4 linked regions of the Ovis aries genome follow. The protein of the gene in region 2 purifies or fractionates together with the protein of the main gene of each other region. This does not show direct contact. Links are inferred from orthologs where the notes say so. Each region holds a gene or a part of one and is shown on either strand. Other genes may lie near its edges.

What was found.
Region 1: the proteins of AP1B1 (region 2) and EPS15 purify together in Homo sapiens (affinity purification with mass spectrometry; 3 studies listed by BioGRID and IntAct, with this or other methods). This does not show direct contact. The link is inferred for Ovis aries from reciprocal best matches to the Homo sapiens genes AP1B1 and EPS15.
Region 3: the proteins of AP1B1 (region 2) and AP1S1 fractionate together in Homo sapiens (co-fractionation; 6 studies listed by BioGRID and IntAct, with this or other methods). This does not show direct contact. The link is inferred for Ovis aries from reciprocal best matches to the Homo sapiens genes AP1B1 and AP1S1.
Region 4: the proteins of AP1B1 (region 2) and AP1G2 fractionate together in Homo sapiens (co-fractionation; 3 studies listed by BioGRID and IntAct, with this or other methods). This does not show direct contact. The link is inferred for Ovis aries from reciprocal best matches to the Homo sapiens genes AP1B1 and AP1G2.

What each region holds. Positions count from the first base shown.
Region 1 is NC_056054.1:25,936,446-25,940,714, reverse strand, and holds the start of EPS15 (epidermal growth factor receptor substrate 15), read left to right. Parts: upstream 1-1,469; 5' UTR 1,470-1,487; coding exon of another isoform or gene 1,488-1,520; 5' UTR 1,521-1,789; coding exon 1,790-1,864; intron 1,865-2,126; exon of another isoform or gene 2,127-2,409; intron 2,410-4,269. UniProt on the Homo sapiens protein: Involved in cell growth regulation. May be involved in the regulation of mitogenic signals and control of cell proliferation. Involved in the internalization of ligand-inducible receptors of the receptor tyrosine kinase (RTK) type, in particular EGFR.
Region 2 is NC_056070.1:68,610,691-68,614,190, forward strand, and holds part of AP1B1 (AP-1 complex subunit beta-1), read right to left. Parts: intron 3,392-3,500; coding exon 3,262-3,391; intron 2,979-3,261; coding exon 2,894-2,978; intron 2,343-2,893; coding exon 2,256-2,342; intron 2,160-2,255; coding exon 2,005-2,159; intron 801-2,004; coding exon 726-800; 3' UTR 1-725. UniProt on the Homo sapiens protein: Subunit of clathrin-associated adaptor protein complex 1 that plays a role in protein sorting in the late-Golgi/trans-Golgi network (TGN) and/or endosomes.
Region 3 is NC_056077.1:36,006,079-36,010,078, forward strand, and holds the start of AP1S1 (AP-1 complex subunit sigma-1A), read right to left. Parts: upstream 2,801-4,000; 5' UTR 2,765-2,800; coding exon 2,762-2,764; intron 2,633-2,761; exon of another isoform or gene 2,164-2,632; intron 688-2,163; coding exon 509-687; intron 1-508. UniProt on the Homo sapiens protein: Subunit of clathrin-associated adaptor protein complex 1 that plays a role in protein sorting in the late-Golgi/trans-Golgi network (TGN) and/or endosomes.
Region 4 is NC_056060.1:21,191,397-21,195,625, forward strand, and holds the start of AP1G2 (AP-1 complex subunit gamma-like 2), read left to right. Parts: upstream 1-1,429; 5' UTR 1,430-1,507; intron 1,508-1,850; 5' UTR 1,851-1,882; coding exon 1,883-2,086; intron 2,087-2,496; coding exon 2,497-2,621; exon of another isoform or gene 2,622-2,762; coding exon 2,763-2,904; intron 2,905-3,024; coding exon 3,025-3,121; intron 3,122-3,288; coding exon 3,289-3,365; intron 3,366-3,482; coding exon 3,483-3,578; intron 3,579-3,974; coding exon 3,975-4,055; intron 4,056-4,229.

The sequences.
Region 1 (4,269 bases), on a different chromosome or scaffold from region 2:
ACTCTTTGTGACCCCATGGACTGCAGCACACCAGGTTTCTCTGTCCATCACCAACTCTTGGAGCTGGCTCAAACTCATGTCTATTAAGTTGGTGAGGCCATCCAACCATCTCATCTAGAGGGCAGACAGATGTAAAGAGTCATTAGGGTGATGATGACATCATAAGATAGAGAAGAAATGTTCAGATAAGTATGTAAATCTGACTTGGGGAGGTCAGGAGATACTTTGAAAGGAGGTGGTACTTCGGTGGTGTCTTGAGAGAGAGTAGGAGGAGTTTGCCAGGGGGACTAAGAAGGGAGTTAGGAGTGCTGCAGCCCCTGAGGAGGCCCCAGTGTTCTTTCACTGAACTGGGGTCTAAGTGTGGCAGGCAGCCAGAGAGCCTGGAGAGTATTTATTTCCCTTCCTACCTAGATTTTGACTTAAGATAGTCTTCTCTTTTGATATCACCCCCTAATGTTGTTGTTTAGTAGCTCAGTCACGTCTAACTCTGCGACCTCATGGACTGCAGCATGCCAGGCTTCCCTATCCATCACCATCTCTTGGAGTTTGCTCAGACTCATGTCCATTGAGTCAGTGATGCCATTCAACCAAATCTTCTCTGTCCTCCCCTTCTCCTCTTGCCTTCAATCTTTCCCAGCATCAGGGTCTTTTCTAATGAGTGGGTTCTTTATATCAGGGGGCCAAAGTATTGGAGTTTAGCTTCAGCATCTGTCCTTCCAATAAATATTCAGGGTTGATTTCCTTTAGGATTGACTGGTTTGATCTCCTTGGGATCCAAGGGACTCTCAAGAGTCTTCTCCAACACCACAGTTTGAAAGTATCAATTCTTCAGGTGCTCACCCTAATAGCAGATGGTTAAATGAAAAGTTTTGGAGTCATACTTGGATTCTAACTCACCAGCTATCTGATCAGTTGTAGGCCCTTACATATGACACTTATTTGTGTTTCAGTTTCATTTGTACAACTTATTTATGTCTCAGTTCCGTCATTTACACAATTTAAAAATAAAAGCATCCAACATAGATTCTGGCATATAAAGAGTACCGTTATTATTTCCTATCATTATCTCATTTAATCCTCGCAAGCAACTTGGACTCTGGATATAGTTCTTCCCATTTTTCAGAAGCATAGGCTTAGCATGGGTAGGTGATCCGTTAAAGTTTTCAGGACAACCTGGAGTTGCCTCTGCTCCACAGCCCGTCCGCCTTAATTACTTGTCCGCGCCGGGTTTTCTCAGGCGGCCCCGGGGCAGGCTCCGGTCCAGCAGCAAAAACTCCGGCGCCAGGATTTGGGTGTCTCCGAGGCCTGTGCCGGGCGGGCGGGGCCAGGCGAGGCGGGGTGGACGAGAGGAGGGAAGTTGTCGAAGTTAGGGGAGACGCCCGCCAGCCGGCCCGGGCCTCGCCTCCGGCCGCTCCCTCCGCCTCCTCCCCGCCCCGAGCCCCTGTCCGCCCGTCCTTCCTTCCCCTCCCGTGCATGATGGAAACACCATGGCTGCGGCGGCCCAGCTCTCCCTGACACAGGTAACGCCGCCCGCCGGTCCGCCGGGCTCGGCCGGCCGGTGTCCCCGGCCCCCTCCCCCACCGCCCTACGGTTCACCGACCCGAGCAGTTTCTCTCCGCCCCGGGCGGGGCGGCCGATACTGAGAGCGCGCGCGCGCGCCTGTGAATGTGAGTGTGAGTGTGACTGCGGGAGGACGCCATCCTGAGCCGGTACCTCCGCCACTCGCGCCCCGGCCCCGCCCCACGCGGCGCCCCCTCCTCCAGACCCCTCCGTGCCCCTGTCCCGCCGGATGGGAGCCCGACCTTCTCCTGTCCGCCTTCACCCACCCAGGAAGTTTCCTCCTTCCAGGCCAGACGCACCCCAGGTGAGCTCCTGTTGAGCTCGCGCGGTTCAGTCTCACCGCCGGGTCTGCCCTCGCCCCGCGCGAGGCTCACCCTCGGGACAGGCAGCGTCACCTTCCCGAGCCAGGCGCTCAGGGCCCCCTCCCAGCCAGGCTTTTCCCTCGCTAAACCGGCCTTTTCCCACTGGAGTCCGACGAAAGCCCTCCCTTTCCCAGCAGTTTCCTCCAGTCAGCCTGTCTTCCAAATAAGTCTCATCCTCCCCGAGCGCGTTCTTACCCCGCTTACCCTGGCTTCAGCCTCTTCTGCTGATCAGGTTTCCTGCTGGGTGAGATCCCCCGATTCAGCCTTTCCCTCCTCAGTTCTGCTACCACTCCTACCGGGTAGGCTCTCTATCGCTGTCCATGGGGATAGCAGGGAAACATCCTTTCACAGGTGTGATGGTTCCGCCCGTCTTGGTGCTGGGAAGGACCTAAGAGATCACTCGTCCTGGGGGAACCTTCACCAAAACCTGTGTGCTCTGTTCTGCCTTGCCTTTCTGCTTCCTTCAGAGTCAGTCCTCGTGCTTCCCAGAAAACCGCTCAGCATCAATCACTCTGGGAACCTCGTTCCTCCCTTTGCGTTGGGAAAACCAATTACAGTCTTCCGGTGATGTCCTGGATGGAGAGAGGTTGTACGCCTGTCAGTCCCTTGGCGCTTCTCTGACCACATCTCACCCTAACCTCACCTTCTCAGCCCGTTCTCTCCAGAACCGGTGGTCACGGACTTTCCTGTTGGGGCCCACGCCAGCCTGCCTGCCTGCCCTGTAGTATCTCTCTGCCACCTTGTATTGGCCTGGATATCTCAGGGTTTCTGAGGCAAAACATTGGGATAGGTTATACGTTTGGGCCAGAAAGTTTTCTGTTTGAGGAATAAGAGACTTTGGGGGTGTTTTGCCTAGCATTCTAGGATAAACTGAGTGAAAAATGTTTCCCTCAGTAACCAGGAATCACGTATAAACAATGTGCCTTAGGTAAAATAAGTAACTTCAGCTTGTAGGAATTTTCAGCTTCGTAAGTGCGAGGTCTGTTATTTTCCAGTTTATTTAGTCTTGCTTATCCTATTTTGACAAGCAGATAAATGGGGAAAAAGACTTGGAATGTGGTGATTTAGTCTTGGTAGTGAATCTCTTTGGAAGGGTCCTCCTGAAACTCAAACTTGAGGAATGGCAACATTGACTTATGGGTGTTCACTCTCTAATAGTGTGGTTAGTGATATGCATTAAACAAGATCCTGTTGGCAAGCTGTTGCTCGTCCGCTCTGCTGGCCAATTCCAGCGAGAGTTCTCCCCTCCTGAAGATTTTGTTCTTCTGAGAACTAATACAGATTTGCTTCTTAGTTGTGTGTGTACTTTATTTTCTTCCTGGGTAAGGTTATGTTTTTAGTTTCTATTTACTGTCATTCATCTCTGAATATTTTCTTCCGGCTCTGTCAGTTTTATAGACAGTTAAACAATTTAAATGTGTTCTTGTGGTTATATATTTAAATATTAACATGTACACAGAGTAAATACTGAATCAGGAGTATTATCGTTCAGTGTTTCACATATGAGAGAACAAACATCGATGGTTCATTTATATTGAATATCCAGATAAGTCAAGTTAGAACATTTTCATTTTAAGACGTTTTTGTTTAGTCGCTAAGTTGTGTCCGACTGTTGCAACCCCGTGGACTGTTTGTTAGCTGGCCAGACTACTCTGTCCATGGGATTTCCCAGGCAAGAATAATGGAGCGGGTTGCCATTTCCTTCTCTAGAGGATCCTCCCCACCCAGGGATCAAACCTGCATCTCCTGCAGTGACAGGCCGGTTCTTTATCGCTGAGCCACCAGGGAAGCCATTTAAGACATTAGGAAGCAATAAGATATATTGTAAAGGCACTGGAAAGAGAATATTCCCAAGTGTTTAAATACCTAATGTGCCTGCTTGTTATTTTAAAACTTGGCTGATTTGTGTTTTTTAATTGAATTTTTAACTGCTTGAGGCAAATAAGCTGAGATAACAGTGCGACTTGGTTTCACATTCATTATTGATCTGTTTATGTCACCATCACCCCCTCACAACACACTCAGACATAGGCATACTCAAGTGAGATCCTACATGGCAGGGACATCTTTCATCTCTCTCCCTCAGCGCATATCTGGAAGAAAGTTATTAATAATATTTGTCTTGTGAATGACTGAAAATTCTGAAGAACTCTGGGACAGTTACAAAGATTAAACAGATGCTGAAGTTAGTTTCTGCCCCTGGTTATTAAATGATAACAGTTTTGCAGTAGGTTGATTTATTCAGCCAGTATTTGTTAAGTACCTATTATGTGCGCTGCTCTATGCTGGAATTGTCTTGAGTAGAATTTTTGGCCTCTATCAATTGAGCAAAACTGACAGTTGGGAA
Region 2 (3,500 bases):
ACAGCAGTAACAGGAAAACCTAATGCTCCGTGAGACACACTGACCTTGGGAGGCCAGGAGGGGGCAGCTAAGAACCCCAGAGAGGAAGCACCCCGCTCGCCCAGGCACCCCACCCCTCAGCCCCGTTCACTCCAGAAGCCCCGGGCACACCAGGAATGTATCACAGGCAGTGACTGTCCTCGCAGGCAGGGGGCGGGATGGACATCTGCCGGGGGGCTGGAGCAGCAAGGGGCTTGGGAGCTACTGCCTGGTCTTCCCTGAGCGGCTCAGCGCCTGGGGGGGGCGGGCAAGCCCCGGGAGCCCCGGCCCTGACAGAGCAGCTCTCCTGGCACCGAGGGGACTCTCCACGCACACCAGGATGCCTGCCAGGGCCTGTCCCAGGAGGGGGCAGTTGGCAGGGCCTCGCCACCAGCCAAGGGAGACGGGGCAGAGGGACCCCGGGCTGGGAGCCTAAGGAGGCACTGCGGGCTCGCCCTCCGGTGCCAGGAAGAGCCGGAGAGGAGCCCTGGCCGCTCCGTGCAGCCCTGCTGCCACTCTGGCTCCTCTGGTGCCCTCCTCACCTGACCCCGAACGTCAGCACGATGGAAACAGGAGAGTCCTGGGCACAGGAGCACCCCAAGGCCTGGGAAGCTGGGGGGTGCCAGGAGCCTCGCTGGCCCCTCGCGAGGGAGGTGCTGCCACCTCGCAGGGGGCTCTGAGGAAGCTGGGGTGGGTGCTGGACGGCCTCAGTTCTTCAGGATGGTCTCGTAGGCCTGGTACACGTGCTGGGACACCTCCGGAGCTCGGCACTTCAGGGACAGCTGTAGGGGGACAAGGGTGGGAGGCAGGGACCCCTTATTCCCGGGGCTCCTCTCCAGGCTGGGGGCGGAGAGCAGATGGCAGAGGGTGGGGCGCACGTGGGACCTGGGGGGGCGGCAGCAGCGGCTGGAGCAGCTGTGCGGTGCCGGCGAGGGGGCGGCCCCGCAGCCAGCCGGGCGGGGACCAAACAGACTGCAGCCCACAGACCTGCTGTCCCGGCCCCCAGAGCCGCTGCAGCATGAGTCAGAGCCCGTGGAGAGTGGGGGTCCCTGAGGACGTTCTGGGGACCAGGAGGGAAGCTGTGGGGGCCCTGGGGGGGTATCTTTCTAGTTTCTTGCACAGGAAGCAGTTGTGTCAAATCTGGCTCAGCTCTACCCGCGAGGAGAGCTGGCAAGCCCAGGAGCAGAGACAGGCTCGCCCGCCCCTCCTGCCAACGCTGCTGCTCAGAGGGGCCCCAGTCTCCTCCGAGGGCTCTGCGCACAAGGCCTGTGGGGAGTGTGGTGCCAGGCTGGAGAGCACAGGGTGTGGCAGCAGGGGCGGTCTGTCCTCTGGCCTGCAGCCTGCATGCGTCTGCCTGGCTTTGGGGAGCAGGGGGGCGAGGCCAGGCCAGGAGGTGGGTTGTGCCAGGCGTGCCTGGGAGGATGGGGGAAGAGGAAGAGAAAAGCAGTCCGCTAACCTCCAGGTCCTGCACCGCCGGCACCGGCAGGGAGGTGGACATGCAGCGACCAGACACAGGGAGACAGAAATTACCACCACCAGCCGCGGCGCCCATGCCGCCGAGGGGCCGGAGAGCAGCGTCGGGCGGTCATGCCTGTCCGCTCGGGTGCGGGGAGAAGCCAAGCCTGGGCTCTCGGGGGCCGGGACAGCGGCGCAGCCTCTGGGAAGCCTTGTCCTTTCTCGGGGAGTGGGGAGCCCAGGGGCCAGGGCTCCCTGAGTCCAGCGGAGCCCCTTCCCAGTACCAGATGGGCCTCACAGGGCCCGATTCTAGTCCACTTCACTGTTCGGAGACCTGACTTGGTGCCTTATCTGGGACACTTGATGGGACTGAGCTGAAGCTTTCTACGATCAGAGTCCTGGTGCTTCTTCACACCAGGCTCAGCCTGACTGGATGCCCCACCCCACCCTGCCAGGGCCGACCCCAGCCTGGGCGGCATGCGGGCAGGAAGGCAGAGGCCGCAGGGCTCTAGGTGGGAGCGGGCGCCTCACCGTGAAGCTGGGGTTGCCGGGCTGGATGCGCAGCTCGGCCAGCACCCAGATGCCGTTGGTCAGCTTGAGAGACTGGTAGAGCATGTCCTGGCCCTCCACGTTCCTCCTGGCCACAGTGAAGATGCTGCTGCTCTGCAGCCGGCTGCTCACGGCCTCTGGGGGTCACAAAGTCAGAGATGGAGGGTCTGGCGCTCAGGGCTGGGGGCAGGGCACAGGGCAGCATGGACAGGCACAGGGCTCGGGAGCCCTACCTGCGTTGAGGGGGCAGTCTCTGATCTGGAACTGGGCCTCGTTCTCGTTGGGAATGTCCTTCCACGTGGCCAGGAACACCTGCCGGTCTGCAGGGGCACAGGCGGGACCCCACCCAGCACCCCCGTCGGGAAGCGGGCGGTTAGGCCCTGCACCCGAGACCAGGGCGGCTCCGCCAGGGCCCCTCCTGCTTCCCTCGGCAAACCCCGAGCCTGTGTTCCGTGGGGGCCGCCTGCGCTGCTCCCGCCTCTGGGCCTTTGTGCCCTCCCCGCTCCTGCCCACAGCCGGCCTCCGGCCCTGGCACCGAGCAGCCCGTTCGTCGGTCCCAGTGACGTCACGGGCTCCTGTGGTGACAGCTGAGGGGGGCCTACGCCCTCTGGGCACGGGACGTGCCTTCCCGAAGGTTCCTGCTGGGGCCCAGGGGTGGGCATCAGGTGTGACGCATGACCTAGGGCCCCTGCCTCCGGGGGCCTGTGGGATAACTATCTAGAGGCGGCAGGTCAGGCTGAGAGCAGAGCTGGCCAGGCAAGACCCTCAGGCCCTGGGAAAGTGTGACCCTCTCTCCAGGCTCTCCAGGGGAGCCAATGACACAGGCTCCACGCATCCGCTCCAGGGACCCCAGGGCGCCCTCAGGACTCACCCATCTTCCCGTCCTCCACAAAGAGGATATGAAGCGGGTACAAGGTGCTGAAGTAGAAGACGTCTATGTTGTTCTTTACGGCCACCTGGAAACAAGGGGGGCCCCAGGTCGTCCCTTTTGCCTGATGCCCACTGAGGCCCCAGGAAGCCTCTGCGCCTGTGAGCACAGCTAAGCAGGTTCCCGCTTCCCCAGAAGCTATGTCCATCCCCTAGCTGGCCCCCGGTCTTCCATCCCCACCCTTCTGTGCCTAAGAACAAGACTCCACAGACACAGCCCTGTGACAGAGCCAGCCAGGCCCCGAGGGCTTCCCCAGTCCTCCCGCGACACGTGGGCAAGGACTGGGGTGCCTGGTCCTCCCCGGGACGCACCTGCAGGCTGTTCAGCGGCTCTGTCTTCATGACAGAGCCCGCCGTGCTGAGAGGCAGGGAGATCTCCACGGTCTGGGTGGGGCTGAGCGGCGCGTGGACCTGGAGTGGGGCGGCGGGGGCCAGGCCAAAGCTGGGGAGAGAGAAGCCCCCGCGGGGATGGTGGGGAGCAGGTGCTGACACAGGGCAGGCAGGCTCCTGGGGACCCGGGGCCTGGCAGCAGCCGGGGAGAAGGCTCTCCA
Region 3 (4,000 bases), on a different chromosome or scaffold from region 2:
AGTGGCCCAGGGTCTACAACTGTTCAGTGAGGCTGCAATGGATGTGTGCAATCAGTAAGATCGGGCCTTTGGGACAGAGGTAGGTGCGTGAAGTAGGTACCAGGCTTGAGCAAAACCAAGAAGGAACAAGTCTCTCTTCAAGGTGAATTTGGAAAGTAAAGGCTGGCTGGAGTTCATCACTGCCTTCCAGATGTCCTTAGCTCTCAGCTCTCCCAGACCTAGTTAGTTAGTGTTAGCCACTCTTTGGACTGTAGCTTGCCAGGCTCCTCTTTCCATGGGATTCTCCAGGAAAGAATACTGGGGCGGATAAGTATTCCCTTCTCCCGCGGATCTCCCCAACCTAGGGATAGAACCCAGGTCTCCTGCATTGCAGGCAGATTCTTTACCGTCTGAGCCACCAGGAAACCTCTGCCAGACTAAGGGACTGCCTATTTCCCAGCCAGGTGAACCCATTCCAGACCCCAATCAGGCAGGATCCAGGCAGGTCTGAAAGTAGGTGAGGAGTCACCTCTTGTAGACAACTTTGAGGTCCCTCCACTCCAGGAAGCTGCACATCTTGGGCTTGCGAGCCAGAACCACCTGCATAAGCTCCCGAACCATCTTCTTCCGCTCCTTGTCTGAGGTGGCCAGGTACCATTTTTGCAGCCGCAGCTTCCCCTGCCGGCTGAACAGCAGCATGAATCGCATCTGGGGGTGGGGGGTAGGGAGAGGAAGGAGGAGTCAGAGCCGAGGTTTAGAGCTTTGATTCTCTGAGCTTGTTTCCTCCAAAACCACACAGTCCCAAACTCCTCCCATTCAACTCTTTTCTCCTCACAGACCCTACTTTCTTCAAAACATCAGCCCTTCTGGTCAACTGGGTATTTCCATTAGCAAGCACCTTCCTTGGAGGGGGTGTCAGCGCTTCTGAGTCTGTCCTGTGGGTTCGAATCCTGGCTCTACTAGTTGAGAAATTTGCCCTGGGCGTTACTTCATTTCTCTGGGCTTCAGTTCCCCTGTGTGTCAGGTGGAAATAATAAAAGTACCTACCTTACAGAGCTGTTAGGTGGAACCGACATAGGAAATCGCGCCTGGCACGAAGTAAGCACTATAACACCTTGGATGTCATTATTATTATGTCCTGACTTACTGTTTCCTAAACCTGGTTTCCAAAGGTGGGTAAAATGCTAGCACAGTGACGAGCAGCCCCTAAGTTGATGGCAAGGAGAAGTTTGCTTTCTTTCCCGCTTTCTATCCACCACCATCCTAAAATCAGGTATTTTCTTTCCCCAAGAAGCTACTTCAGCCCTCTGCCCCATCCTAGCCATACACCCTAGCCAATGTCCCCAACATACTGCCCTCCATTCCTATGCCCAGCGGTATCCTTTATGTTAGCACATGATACCAAGTGAAGTCGCTCAGTCGTGTCTGACTCTTTGCGACCCTATGGACACCAGGCTCCTCCGTCCATGGGATTTTCTAGGCAAGAGTACTGGAGTGGGTTGCCATTTCCTTCTCCAGGGAATCTTCCTGACCCAGGGATCGAACCCAGGTTTCCTGCATTGTAGACAGACACTTTACCGTCTGAGTTACCAGGGAAGTCCATAACATGACACCAGGACCCCCTAGATTCCACCACCCTCCACTCTACTCAGCCATCCAGGCATATAGCCAGAGGTATTCCTTTTTTCTTCCTTTTAGGGTGCCTCCCTAGCATGCCCACACCTCCCCAGATATCAGGTGATCAATTTCCCTTTCAGTTCTTCAGTTTGGACCCAGCCATTCTGGGCGGCTCGCCTAGTGAATGTTCCTGGAACAAGCACAAGGAGGTGGAGCGGGGAGACGTGCAGAGCTCTCACTCTCACTACCCCGTGCACCCCCAGTTTCCCATTTCCAGGGGGGTAGGGGCTCCAGGCCACATCCTGGAGTGATCTCCCTCCCCTTGTAGCTCGTCTCTCCGTGTATGCCACCAGGGCTGGAGTCCTGGGTGTGTGGAACACTACTAGTCTAGACGGCTACAGATCGGAATTCAAGAGAACTGTATTTTCTGCTATCGGGGAAAGGGAAGCGCTGCTAGCGTGGCCGGAGGGCAAAAGAGTGGTGCAAGGGAGCCTAGGATGGGAGGGTGGGCCAGGGAGCAGGAAGACGGAAGGCCTGCGTTCCGGAAAGAGGATAGGGTAGAGGGGCGGAGAGCCAAGAGCCCCGGAGCCGGGAAGCCAAAGCCTGGGTCCCAGAGAGCAAAACTCGAGCCCACCTGGCTTCCCCCACCTCATCCCCGCCTCCAGGTGGGCAGGACGACAAACCGAGGCAGGACGTCTATTCCTCGCACCCCGAACGATCCCCTCCCACACACCGCCCTCCCCGCCTGCCGCCGCTCCACTCTGGGCTGCACGTGGACGGAGGGTCTCGGAGACAGGCGACCCCTGCCGCCTCCGTCAGCCAGCAGGCCCCAGACCCCGTTCCTCGCGCGAGTTCCCTGCGGCAGTGATCCGGACCCCTGAGATCGCGACCCGTGCGCTCCCCCTGGCTCCGGACGGTCCCGCCGCCCCCTAGTCACCTCCCTCTGGCCCTACAAATGCGCCCACTCCCCGCCGCTTCTCCCGAAAGCGATTTCCAGCTGCTCTTCCTTCCGAGGCCGGCTCGCCCACCCGCCCAGGTAAGTGAGGGCCTCTGAGAACTGGAGGAGGGAAAAGAGCGGCTCACACAGAGGGCAGCCCCCAAGGACCCCTGCAGGTGCAGCCCACGCCCCTCGGTCCCCCCTCCCCTCCCTCTTCGCAGAGCCTACCATCCTGCAGCCTCCAGCCCTGCGCGTCCCTCTTCGGCCACCGTAGGCGCCAGCTCCACTCCCTTTCTTACCCTTTCGCCTCCTTCCCTCCCTCTCGCTTGAAGCCCCGCCCCGTCCGCCAGGGTGCCGGGAACCAATACGCTGCGTACTGCGCAGGCGCCGACGCTGCGAGGCGCGCGGGCGGGGCCGGAGGCGGAGAAGCGGTGGCCATGGCAACCAGGTCTTTGACTTCAGCTTTGAGTAGCCCTGTCGTCATGGTAACAAGGCTGTCTTGTGGACTGGTTAGAAGATGGGGGAGGAGGACAATGAGGTCTTCGCGCTTTGGAACCTAGGGGGAAAAAGGCGGGAAAAGGGGTGAGAGGTGGATGAGATGACCCCTGGAGTTTGTGAGGAAGTAGGGTAATTTAATGGAAGGGGTGTGGGCGATTGAGAGGGAGCAGGGTGGAAGCCATCTGTAGAGGAGGAATGACGAGGAAGGCAAAGACAAAGGGTGGTGGTGGGGCAGGTATGAGAAAAGTATGGAGCTCAAAACAGATATCTACTGAGAACCTGCTGGACGCAACAACACTCAAAGTAAGAGAAGGGTGTAGGTAATGAGGCAGACAAGAAATAAGGGAAGAGGAGAAGCTGATAGAAAAGTGAGGTAAGGAAGAGGACAAACATGATCAAGGGGAAAGAAAGAGGAAGAAATAAAGAAAATCTTGAAAAGTTAGCATGGGTCAAAGCTAAAAAGGGACGGTGTGACCCAGACACGAATGTAAAGATGAGACGGAGGTAAATTGCAATACATGTGTTTTGAGAGGGATTTGCAAGTGTGAGTGTGTGTGTCCACATGCCAAAGCACTTTGCATATAAATGGATGAGAGGAAATCTTAAATTTTGTCATGCCAAAAGCTTAATGGTATATTTCTAGACATTTGTTGGTAACTAATGATGCTATTATTTTTGAGTAGCACTTGAAGCAATTATTGGTAAGGCCTTACCTGTCTCTGCTTTGTATTCTTTTCTTCTTACTCTTTTATGGAGGTCATATGCTTTAATTGCAAGAGGGTGGGCTTAATTCACCTGCAATGCAATCTGGTCTCTGACCCTTACCTGATGTGCAGTCTCGGGTGGGTCTTTTAAACCTCCATTTCCTCATTTAAAAAATGAAGATAGTAATACCAACCTTGCAGGTCTGATTTGAGGCTGGATAGAAAGTATCTGAAACATTGTCAACAGTTGATATTGCAATATCAG
Region 4 (4,229 bases), on a different chromosome or scaffold from region 2:
CGAGTGGAAAGGAAGAACGTGGGGAAGGGGTACACTCGATACTGGAGAAGACTGTCGACTGGGCAGGGCACTGGCCGTGCAGCTAGGACTCCCCGACCCAAGGAGCCTGGTGCCCCTCTGAGGCCTGGTGACAGATCTGGAAGGGATGCAGCCTCCATCTCTGACCTCGGAGGAGCCTATCTCACCTCCAAGTACTGAGCTAGGTTCTAACCAAACTCCATCCTTCGCTGAAGGAGATGAGAGAAATGAAAAGTAGAACAGCTCCTGAGCATCTTCTCCCTCTTTCTTTCCCCAACAGCCAGCCCCTCACCCAACCCCCTAGGATGGCATGCCATGTCAAGAGCAATGCGTAAAGGAAAGATAAAGTCCCATGCAGCCAAGCCCACCTGCTGACCTCTCCCACCTTTCTCTCTCCCCCTAAAAGTTTATTTGGTTGGTCTGGACTCACGTGTGGCCTTTGATTAAATTCCTAAGGGACCTGAAGAAGACATTTCTACTGCAGAGGGTTAGGGGCACCTGAGCAAGGACCCCACTCCCCAACTCTGGCAGTAGTGGCGGGGGGAGGCAGTTCTGGAAAATGAACCACACAAGAAAACAGGAACTCACAGGGCAGGAGAAGCTGGTCAGTAGTCTCTAAGTGGGTTAGATCCCTTCCCCCATCATATCAGAATCTTGTGAACTGGAAAAACAACACAAAGGAGGGGATCAATCTCACACACTTTCCAGGGAGAGCAGAGAGGTGAGAGTCAAACCGGGGTGAGAGGTGGGTAGAGAGCCCTGTTGGAGGTTGTGGCTGATCCCTGGTACTAGCGTTTCCCCTGGGGACAGGAAGCCCTAGGAAGAGGGGGCTTGAGGGTCCCCAGGGGATCTTTCCTCCCTCCCCTGCATGAGGCAGAGGCAAGCTGCCTGCCAACCCCCTCCCTCAAGGAATGGCCTTGCCTGGGAATGCCCACCACACACAAACTCTTCTTTTTTTTCTAGTCAAACTCTGTTTACTCCCTGGCCTGCCTCCCTCCCTCTTCCTCTCTCAAACTTTACTTCTGATTTCTATTTCATGGAATTTGGGATTGACGTTAAAACAACAGTGCCGCCAACACCAAGTCTTGCAGGAAAAAAAAAATACAAAGAAATTTAACCAAAAAAAAAATATATTAATAAAAAAGTTCAAAAAAAGGGGGGGGAATTGTCCTCTCCTTTGGGTGCGATGGATTCAAACCCAAACTCTCAGAAGCTCTCCAGTGAACGAGCCCTCTTGCGAAGTCCCAGGCCTGTTAGACAGTCTCGCCGCCCCGAAGTAGTTAAAAAGATCCTTCCCTTATACTCCAAATCAGAAAGGCCTAAGGTCAGAGGATTCAAGATTGCTCTGCAGTCTGCAGGGCGGCCCAGGAGGGGCGGGGTCCCGCGATAGGGGCGGGGAGAGAGAAGGATCAGACCAAGCCCCAACCTTCCTCGGGGCTAGGACCAGGAAGCGCTGGGGGGAGAGGAGCGGAGTTGAGACTGAAGCCAGGTGAGGCTGGCGTCCTGGTGTGGGGAAGCTGACACCGCCTGAGAAGGGGACGGGGGTCTCTGCGAAAGAAGCAGCGCCGGGCTCTAGAAGGAAGGGAATAACTGAGCTAGGGATGGGAAGCCAGGTGGAGACCCGCCGTTGGGGGGGAAATAGGCGGGGTTCCAGCGCAGGCTCGGTAGCGACGGGTGCGGGGTGGGGCGAGGACGCATGCGTAATGGAGGTCTCGGGCGGCATTTGGGGACAGGGATCAGTTTTAGCGTGTCTTGGGACCCGGGCCCTCGGGAATTTGGTTAATTGCAAGCCTGTGCAGAAAAGGCCGGATGCTTACTGCCAGAGGGTTAAGGCCCTCTCCGTTTCCGGGCTCTGCCCGCCAGGATGGTGGCGTCCTCGCTGAAGCTTCAGGATCTAATCCAGGAGATTCGTGAGGCCAAGACCCAGGCCCAGGAGCGGGAGGTGATCCAGAAAGAGTGCGCCCACATCCGGGCCTCCTTCCGCGATGGGGACCCTCTGCACAGCCACCGCCAGCTGGCCAAACTGCTCTACGTCCACATGTTAGGCTACCCCGCCCACTTTGGACAGGTACTGGGCGTGGACGCCTCCCGTCCGAGTTTGATGAGAGAAGCTAGTGGGGCACGGTAGCGAACACCACCCCCTCACTTACTTGTTTCTCGATTTCTTTATTCTGCGGAGTTTCTGGGCCCTCACAGGGTGTACCGCAGATCTCCTTGCCCTTTACCACCCCAACTGGTCATCAGATGGACCGAACCCCTCATTCTCTGGCCAGCGCCATTCAAGGCCCTTCCTTTCTCCTCCCATTCTTCCGTTTCCTTGAAACTAACTGAATCTCCTAAACCTCTGTTCATGTTGAACGGGGCGGTCCTGGGGTATGCTGCCCCCACAGGTTAATCTGGTGTAAAGGAGAACCAAAAGCCACGCTAGTGCCTCCGGTTTCACCCCTACCCCTTCCTGGTCTGCCCCCTTCCCTGTAGATGGAGTGCCTGAAACTGATCGCCTCCCCCAGGTTCACAGACAAGAGGGTGGGCTACCTGGGGGCCATGCTTCTACTGGATGAGAGGCAGGATGCCCACCTGCTCATTACCAACAGCATCAAGAAGTGAGAGGGTTCTGGGAAGCACTTGGAATCAGGGAGATGGGAGAGTGGGGAACTGGGAAATCCCAGGGGGTTGCCTGCTGTAGGTACTGAAGGACTGGACTTCTCAGAGGCTTGACTGACTGTCCTCCCCAAACTCTGCAGTGACCTGAGCCAGGGAATTGAGGCTGTCCAAGGCCTAGCCTTGTGCACACTGAGTGCCATGGGCTCTGCTGAGATGTGCCGGGACTTGGCCCCAGAGGTGGAGAAGCTGCTCCTGCAGCCCAGCCCCTATGTGCGCAAGAAGGTGAGACAGCAGGTTCTAGGCTCTTGCTCCTGCACAAACTGTCCTGTCTGCCACATGATAGAGGTGGGGGATTCCATCCTGGCAGACCCTCGCCCTCTCTGAGCCCTGTGACCTCTGCAGGCTGTTCTGACTGCAGTACACATGATCCGGAAGGTCCCTGAACTCTCTGACATCTTCCTCCCACCCTGTGCCCAGCTGCTTCATGAACGCCACCATGGTAAGGCCACGGGGCTCCTCGTCCACTGCCTCAGCTCTGGCTGTGGGAAAGGGAGCCCAAGGACAGGAACAGTAGCTCCCAGGTGAAGGGCAGCACGTGCATGCAAACACGCACACAGTAGACTCCCCTGTGCCCTGTCCACCATTGGCTCCCTCACCCTGACCCAGGCATCCTGCTGGGCACTGTCACGCTGATCACCGAGCTCTGCGAACGAAGCCCTGCAGCCCTCCAGCACTTTCGAAAGGTGGGCTGGTGAAGGGGTGGGCCCCGGGCCAGGAGGAGAAGGGCAGTGGGGTTGGAGGGAGCTGAAGGGAGAGAGGATTAGGAAGAATGCCCAGGTCAGGCTCTGCCCTCCCTCCAGGTGGTACCCCAGCTGGTGCACACCCTCCGGACTCTGGTGATGACAGGATGCTCCACAGAACACAGCGTGTCTGGAGTCAGCGACCCATTCCTGCAGGTGGGCTGATCCTTCCCTGCTGTATCCCTGGAACAAAAAGCTTAGGCATCCCATGGCCAGGGGTCCCCTCCCAGACAATACTTTGGTTCATCAGTAACTTGGGCAGGAGGGTGGCAGGCACCAGGTCATCCCAGGTCCAGTGTGGGGATGGGGAGTGCCTGAAAAGTAGAAAATCCAACTTGGTAACATTTTTTTTTTTTTTTTTCAAAAGACTGTCCCCAGATCTCCTGGCCTCACTCACCTCTGAACCCTCCCAGGGCCCAAGGGGACAGAGGAGGCTGGGAGGGGGGACTGCAAGGAGGCTATTGGGAGCCAGCCAGACCCCTCACAGTGCTCTCAACGTTGGATTTCTCTCCTCAACCCCTTTCCCCCAACTTTTATTTAACCCAATTTCAGGTCCAGATACTTCGTCTGCTTCGGATTCTGGGCCGGAACCACGAGGAGAGCAGTGAGACCATGAATGACTTGCTGGCCCAGGTGGGGGTGGGGGCCTGGGTTATGGGTGTTGCTCTGTGATCCCACTGGCCTGGGCGTCCCTCCCATGACCACTCCCCCTGCAGTGGCCAAATGATCACGTCTCCATTTCTTTCTGGACTGTGATCTCTCCTGAGGTCAGGGACACAGTCTGTTACAGTGCAGTAGTCCCTGGCA